2 linked regions of the Caenorhabditis elegans genome follow. The protein of the gene in region 1 interacts with the protein of each later gene in a pairwise test. Each region holds a gene or a part of one and is shown on either strand. Other genes may lie near its edges. The genes, in order: sec-22 and sid-5.

Region 1 (4,252 bases):
TTCGAAATAGAATGCGAGGCTCGGTTGAATCGCCAATCTTTTTGTTGGTTCGTCTCGTATGCATTTGAAGTGTGAACGATATCGAGAGGTGATCCGAGAGCAGAAAATTGGGGAGTAGAGTTGCATTGAAGGATTTGTACAACCACTGGGATTCCACTTGAACTGGGGTATGTTAAAATCACCGAGGATATAATGGCATTTGATGGTTGGACATATTAGTGATGAGATATTGGTGAAGAGACTAGAAGTTTGAGATTTAGTGGAATCAGGCGGTCTATAGACTATATCTGGAATTGGTGTGGGGATGGTCGAGGACTAAAATATCGCAGTGGTGGTTGCTGTAAAACTGACTGGAAAGAGAATCAGCAACATTTAAAACAATTGAGGGAGTGTAGAACACTACAACTTGTTGTTTAACCCAGAGCCACAAAAGAGCAAAAAGGAATTTTTGCCTTGAAGGAATTCCTACAAATAACCACAACAGAACAATTTCTCACCGTTTATCCTCTTTTTAGTGGGTTTCTCAGTTGGAAGTGGAAGTTTCGTGCCCTTGAGTGCTGCTTCAGCGGACGCTTGTTGTGCTCTTTTGATTGATGTTCCGCTTCCTGAACAAATTTTATGAAAATTTAGCTTTTTTTCTAGAAAATTTTACCCTCAAATGTCTCAGCTTCAGTCAAAACTAGCTTCACCGTGAACAATTTCTTGTGAGCCGGCCCACTTTCGTCTTGCAAATTGTAAACGTGCCGCAGCTTGTTGAATCGAGCTATCTGGAATTTTTATTTTATGAACGCAAAGTTTGAATCTGGAATTTTGTTACCTCTGCCACTCTACACATTGCCGACTTCTCCTTCTCTTTTGCATTTGTGTAGTCATAGAAATTCGTCGGCGAGTCTGCCTCGAATTTGTGTTGACCGCACCAATGTTGGGGATGCAGGCGTTCTGGTTTTTGCTCCGACTGAAATTGATGAGAGTTTTTTCCAGCAGTGCTTCAGAATTAGAAAATTGCAATTTTTGAAATTATTGAAATTTTACAGCTTTCCAAAAAGTACTGACTTTCCAAAAAAAATGTTTTTTTTGCAAAATATAAATTCTTGTTCAAAAAATATGTGCAACAGCTTAATGTTTCTTTGTAAAATTCGTTGTTTTTTTAAAAACATTTTTGGATGTTTTAAGGGAACCGATATCTCAGTATTTTATAAAATTTTAAAAGAATACAAAAATTAAAATTAAAAATTTCAAAACCAAAACCAAAATTCAAACAAAATTGAACAATTTCGTAAAATTTCAGTACTAAGTGAATATCTTAATAGCTATCAAAATGGCTCACATTTTGTTAAACGACATTGTTAAAAGAAAACTTAAGTAGGACAATTTTTGAATGGCCGGTAGTTTTTTTTTTTGAATATACCATCCTCGTGAATAGTTTGATTGGCCATTTTTTCCAGAGTTGAAGTTTTTTTAGATTTAGCATAGGTATTTTATTGATTTTTGCATTTTTTTTTTCAAACCAAAAAACTTACTTTCTCCGCAGAAATCGATGCATTTTCCAAAGTATCTGCCAGATCCGTAGTCGTCTCCTGTACTATCATCACTCCATCCATCTTCTGTGTGAGCGTTGTTTCAAATACAGCCTGCATTGGGACAGAGGAGGTAATCAATACATTTGGATGCACATCCCACAACACATACACACACTGTGTTCTCTTCTCTTGCAGGGCAATTGAAGGGCTGGCCAGTGGAGCGCGGTTGCGTAGCTGCGGCGGCTACGTGGTTAACAGACGTTGCCCTTTTCCTTTCAATGCGTATTTCACCATCGTTTTTTGCATTTTTTTTATGGAATTCGAATGTTGTTTTTGGATTTTTCAAGTTACGATTTAAAAATTTAATTTTCGTAATTAAAACTTTCAATGTTTTTGAAAACATGTCCGATTTAATCCAACTTTTCGCATTTTCCAACAAATTGCAAAATAATTTCTTCTATTAAGTTTTTATTTTCAGAGTAATGGAGCTAACGCTAATTGCCCGTGTACGAGACGGCCTTATTTTGGCCACATCGATTGAAGGAAACAATGACGGCAGTGTAAGTTGCCATTTTTCATTTTCAAGTTAATTTTCAGAAAACATGTTTCAGGGCGACTCAAGTATGGTGAAATACTCGAATCAAGCAAAAATGCTCTTCAAGAAGCTGAATGGGGCTCCAGCACAGCAAAGTGTAGAGTCAGGACCATTTGTTTTTCAGTGAGTTTTTGAATTTTAAACTCTAAAAAAAACATTTTGCTCAATATAAACATTTGATTCATTCCAGCTACATAATCGTCCAAAACATTTGCGCCCTGGTCCTCTGTGATAGGAATTTCCCGCGTAAAGTTGCCTTCCAGTACCTCAGTGACATTGGCCAAGAGTTTCTAAACGAGAACAGTTCGAGAATCGAGCAAGTCGTTCGTCCATACCATTTCCTCGAATTTGGTAGGTCAATAAAGTTTTGAAAATTTGCAACTGCGACGTGCTTCAGACAAATACATCCAACAAGCTAAACAAAGATATGGAGACACCAACAAACACGCAATGAATACGGTATCCAATGAGCTCCAGGACGTCACAAGAATTATGGTCACTAATATCGAAGATGTCATTCATCGAGGAGAAGCTTTGAATAGTGAGTTGATTTTCTTCCTGAAAAATTCAGCTTTTCTCTAACTAATAACTATGTTTGGACCTTGCATTTATCGACCTTGGTCAGTGCGCTAGATGATTTTGTCACTGCACCACACATTTTTTTTAGCTTATAAACGTTTTTTTCCCGATAAGTGATTTTTCAAATATGTTGTATTTAGTAGTACAATTCAGTATTGTTTGGAAATTTTAATAATTTTTAAGCCAGTCGCCACGTTTGGACAACTCACTATTTGAAACTGTTCACAATTTTGATTGGTGTTTTTGAAAATTTACTTTTTTACTTTTTAACTTTAACAAATAATTAAGCTTATTAATGTTTTGTTTTTTTTTATTGAAAAAAGTAGATAATCAAAAAGAAAAAAAGAAACGTTTTTTTGCACGTACATTCCTTTTGGTCAGTGCATTTTATATTTTCTGGTCAGTGCATTTTATATTTTTTGGTCAGTGCATTTTAAATTGGGTCATTGATAAGTCGCGGAAAAAATAAGTGGTCATTCGATTGCAAACTCTCTCAATTTTCAGTTCTGGAAAACCGAGCATCCGAATTGTCTGGAATGAGCAAAAAATACAGGGATGACGCGAAAGCCCTGAATCGACGATCAACCATTTTCAAAGTAGCAGCCTCGATTGGAATTGCCGGAGTTCTTTTCCTCATGCTCCGCTTCATTTTCTTCTAGAATTACAAAATTACCTATTTATTTCTCAAACAAAAAAAGAATCCTGATGGGTGTTTTTCTTTTCTCGCTGCTAAATTATTGTGTTTTTCACCTTCCTTCCAAATCATACGAATACTGTGTTAAATGTATTTTATTTTTTTGAAATTTAATGAAAAAAATTACAAAAAAAACAATACAAGCACACATCAGATTTGCCGCGATTCAGCTGGAGTGAACGTTGTAGACTGAAAATTAAAGTTATATTTTTCAGGGTATTTGAAAACTTGCCTGTCCACCAATCCAGGCTTTATATTGTTGATCATTGCCATCTGTATTATGTTGAGCTTCAAACTTTGGCATAGAGGAAGAAGGGGCAGAACATGCTTTATCTAAATAATTATATTTTTTAATTGGAACTTTCAGATAAAAAATGTAACTGGTACAAATATTTGTAATGTTTGCGGAACTTTTTTTTTGGTGACCAGAAAATTGAATTCAAAATCTAGAAGTATTCGAAGTTTTTACCAGAAAAAAAACGTTACAAATATTTCACTTATAAAAACTATTGAAAAAAGGAGACTGATGGGCATTCACTGAAGCTGCTCACCAAAGCACTGACCAAGTTAACCAAACGCACTGACCAAACTTATCAAATGCACTGACCAAGTTTACCAAACGCACTGGCCAAAGTTATTTCTGCTCTGTTCAACCTTGTACTCAGTTGAGTTTTTATTTCTTACAAAATCTCACCTTCTTCAGATTTCTCTACATCTTCGGTATCTTCATCAACTTTTACATACTGAAACATAAAAATACTCAAATAGTAGCACCCTTCAAGCACTCACTTCATAAATAACTTTATCATTTTTCTTCCAAAACTGCACATCGGAGTCGTTATTGAGCTCTAAGAAGATAAAATA
Region 2 (3,843 bases), 5.9 Mb from region 1:
AAAACAACACCGACAGGGGGGAAATAACCATGATGTACATAAAACTGATAAACTGTCCCGTCTAAAAAATATTATTGTAGATTATTATTAAAACAAATTATACTTTGTATTGTGAACTCAAAATAATTTCTAGCGAAGTAATTTCCACAAGTTTTTTGATGCATAAAAAGTAAGTGATTTTAGAATTTTTACATACAGTGTTTTTCACAAATGAAGTGCATATTAACAATTTTCTTGTTAGATTTTTCAATCTATTCTCAAGAAAAAAAAACGTCGAAATTAAGCAACGCATGTCTTAAAATTAAAAAAGATAGTTGCACCCAAAATTGAAAAAAAAATCGCAAAAAATTGCTTCACAATACTAAAACGGACTATTATTACATTTTGCTAAACAGTATTTTTGTTGCTACACACGCGAGAAGTTCTTTGCAATTCCTTTACAGAAACAGAAAATCTTCACTTCAAAACAGTATTTGCGTTATATTGTCTCTTTTGGAAAAACAATGCAAAATCACATCGCAAACGATTTCAATTTGTAGTTTTTCAAAACTGAAATTTATGAAAAATGTATAAATATTTCTCCAAACTATTTCGGATGTATTTATTGTGCCTGCACAGAACTCGTGTCGATATTATTTACAATATCGGGCTCATTGTTCTTAATGCGATGGACAATCAAAACGCCCCGAATTCCTATTCAACCCACGGATTGACCTGTGTGCGTTTGACATGAAACTCAACGTTCAAGGTGGCATCAGAGCAACGATTTATTGACAGGAGAGAGAAAAAACGGGTATTATCAGTTTGCATTACATCATCCTGATAAGTTGAGAATCACAGAGTACAACTATGCAAGGCATGTGACAATTATACCAAAAAAGTTGATTGTTAATTAATTGAACGAAGAGGTTTAGTTGAGCGCGGAATGAACAAAGTTTTAGTTTTTTCGTTAAATAATTGCTGGCAGAAGTTGTACGAAGAAAGTGGGCAAATCTGAAATTTTTTGATACGATTAAAGTTTGGAACTATTTTTTGAGAATTAATAAACTTTCAGAAAATCATTAAAAAACCGAATTTCATAATGATGAAAATCAAAAATTAAAAAAAAAGGTTTTTAGCTAAAATCTCAAATTTTGCCACATTTCATGTATCGCAGAGGTTTAGAAATATTTTTTTATTAACAAATTCAGATAGTGTAATTTTTTGGTTTTTATTATTAAAACACGTTATCAGTCAATAAATGCACATTTGGATATATTGTTGATACTGACTGGAAAAAATGCTAAGACCAACATCCAAGCTCGAAAAAAATTTTGCGAAAATTCCAACACGAAGTTTGGCATTTTAGAGCGTCAAATAAACTAGTTAACCATATTCACAACACCATCTTCAATCAGACAAAGTATGGTTTAAAACATTATTGGATTTGAGATTTCAAAAAATGAAATTAATTTGGTTTTAGAAAAATCATTTTTCAATCTTCATAATTTGAACATTCGTTTTTTTTTTCAATAAGAAAGCTTTTACTCAATTATTTACACTTCGAGGAACAAAAACTTACCAAAGCTCTAGTCTCTAATTCCGATGATTGGCTCCTCATCATCAGCTGGAATTTGTTCTGCTCCTCGACGAATGAGTCTGTAGAGTCGTGCTCTGTTCATGTACACAACTTGTCCAATGTTGAAAAGAACCATTAGTCCAAGAAATACCAAAGCAATCTGTACAATAAAAGTTATTCAGCTGAAACCGGTTTTATTTCTTACGTCTCTCTCCCATTGACATGCGTGAAGGTTTTTGGCACAGTTTTTGCTGGGCATCGTTCCAGTTTCTCGATTTCTTGCTGAAAAAATCGATTTTAGACAAACATCAACAAAAGAAGGTTTTTCTGTTAGAGAAACGGCTGTTGTGAGAGACACGAGACGCAGGCAGTCGAACAAAACACAATTGACCGAGAGGAGTACGCGGGAAATAAGATGAATATGTTGTTTTGCTGTATCATATACTGGACAAATTTATTGTTGACGATTTAATAAATTATATATATATGTATACTAACATGCATAATTGCCTTTACAGATAATTTTTTTTATTTTCTTAATATGTTTTAAAACTTTGTCAGTAATTTAATTTTAAAAAAACAATTTAAGCTGGAACATCACAAAAATTGTGTAGAGATAACTATTTCAAACCATATTTGTTTATATTAAAATTATGAAATGAGCATATAAAATGAGCATAAAATGAGCAAATCATCATTTCTTCCCCATGCTTCACACATTTTTAACATTAGCAAGAGGAATGGCGGGCGGGGCCTGAAGTATTTCGCAATTCAATTTATTTATATGTATTTACAATTATAATATTTTGTAGCGATTATAGCGATTCACAAATTTCATCGAGCGGTGATGACTGAGGTTTGTTGCAGGTTTGTATTTACGTTGTCCAGACTTCACTTCATCAGGGCAAAAAACTTTATCAAAAACATTAAAAACTTATCTTATTTACTATCTTCATCGCTATTTTAGATTTGTGGCATCAATAATTTAATGAAGTTTGAGTATTTTGTCTCAAATTCAACCACATAGTGTTTCAATTTGCAGGAAAAAAAACGTGTAACTGTTTATTGTTCACAAATAAAAGACCAACTTCTATGGAACATTATTTCCTTCTCCCAATTGTATTTCAGCCAACACAGGGCCGCTTATATCGTTTTTCCTAATTTTAGAAACCGCTGGAACAGTTGATTCTGATGGTTGTTTTTCCTTTTTTGTCATATTCCTAATTTGGTGTATTTTCTGTGACACTTTTTGACTGATTCTTCGCAATGTAAATCCGATCTGTAATTTTTACGATACAACTATTTTTCCTATCGAAAAACTCACTTCTCCCAAATTCGCGTCTTTGCTTTCATTCAAAAAGAAAAAAGCAATTAAGAAATGTATGATGGCGGTGGCAAAAGCGATGAAAAGAGGTGCGGGTTCCCATCTTTGCTTCACAATTGTCTGAGAAGAATTCTCAATTTTTGAATGAATGACGTTCAAACAAACCATTTTGGAGGCCAGTATTCCAGAAAGTCTTGACAGAAATGAGCATGCTCCACTAATGGTACCTCGAACTTCGGTGGGAACTTGTTCCACAACGCAACTGCAGAACAATTATTTTCGATCAAAGTTTTTGTTCGGTTATGTTTAAATTTGAGAATATCTTGTTCAATTTTTAAAAACATACATAGAATTTCACATTAGGTATTTAATTTTTTCACAAAACATCAAAACTCGGTGAAACTATCTGCTCATCAACTGCGGCAGAGGCACGTGTATTGTGTGAAAGTACTCTCGCCACCCTCTTTCTATTAACAGCACTCACTTGATTGTTAAACACTACTCTCGAATATGTGGAGAGATGGCCGAGCGGTCTAAGGCGCTGGTTTAAGGCACCAGTCCCTTCGGGGGCGTGGGTTCGAATCCCACTCTCTTCAGTTATTTTTTTGAAATTACACACTTACAGGTAACATGCATCCCAAATAAATTCGATTGACGCGTATCCAATAAGGAACACTAATACATAAATTGTTGGGTAGTTTTTTTGAAGTCCAAAGAGTATGAGCACTCCGGATGCACACATGGAGATTCCGTTTATACAAAGAGAAATCAAATGAAGATTTCGACGGCTAATAATTCCAAAATATATTTCTACCAAACCAAGAAGCTGAAAATTGTGAACCATATTTTTGAGTTTATAATTTTCAAGTATGTATACGTACAATTTTACAAATGGCAGGTACTCCGGCAAGAAGCATCTGACTGAGAATCAAATTGTTGTGAAAAATTATAACTTCCGAAA

Evidence for each region.
Region 2: the proteins of sec-22 (region 1) and sid-5 interact in a two-hybrid assay, tested with the Caenorhabditis elegans proteins (one study listed by BioGRID).

The regions. Positions count from the first base shown.
Region 1 is NC_003284.9:1,033,550-1,037,801, forward strand, and holds sec-22 (Vesicle-trafficking protein SEC22b), read left to right. Parts: upstream 1-1,998; 5' UTR 1,999-2,002; coding exon 2,003-2,080; intron 2,081-2,131; coding exon 2,132-2,238; intron 2,239-2,305; coding exon 2,306-2,466; intron 2,467-2,512; coding exon 2,513-2,656; intron 2,657-3,198; coding exon 3,199-3,353; 3' UTR 3,354-3,517; downstream 3,518-4,252. Other genes in the region: stau-1 (DRBM domain-containing protein), read right to left, coding at 498-605, 653-767, 818-955, 1,521-1,637; F55A4.7 (Ovule protein), read right to left, coding at 3,539-3,577, 3,621-3,721, 4,083-4,131, 4,178-4,236.
Region 2 is NC_003284.9:6,902,749-6,906,591, reverse strand, and holds sid-5 (Systemic RNA interference defective protein 5), read right to left. Parts: upstream 1,872-3,843; 5' UTR 1,818-1,871; coding exon 1,764-1,817; intron 1,719-1,763; coding exon 1,569-1,718; 3' UTR 1,562-1,568; intron 994-1,561; 3' UTR 743-993; downstream 1-742. Other genes in the region: pes-23 (Major facilitator superfamily (MFS) profile domain-containing protein), read right to left, coding at 2,649-2,837, 2,883-3,002, 3,048-3,144, 3,506-3,708, 3,764-3,843. UniProt on the Caenorhabditis elegans protein: Plays a role in RNA-mediated gene silencing by mediating transport of both ingested and endogenous dsRNA between cells. Not required for the uptake of dsRNA from the intestinal lumen.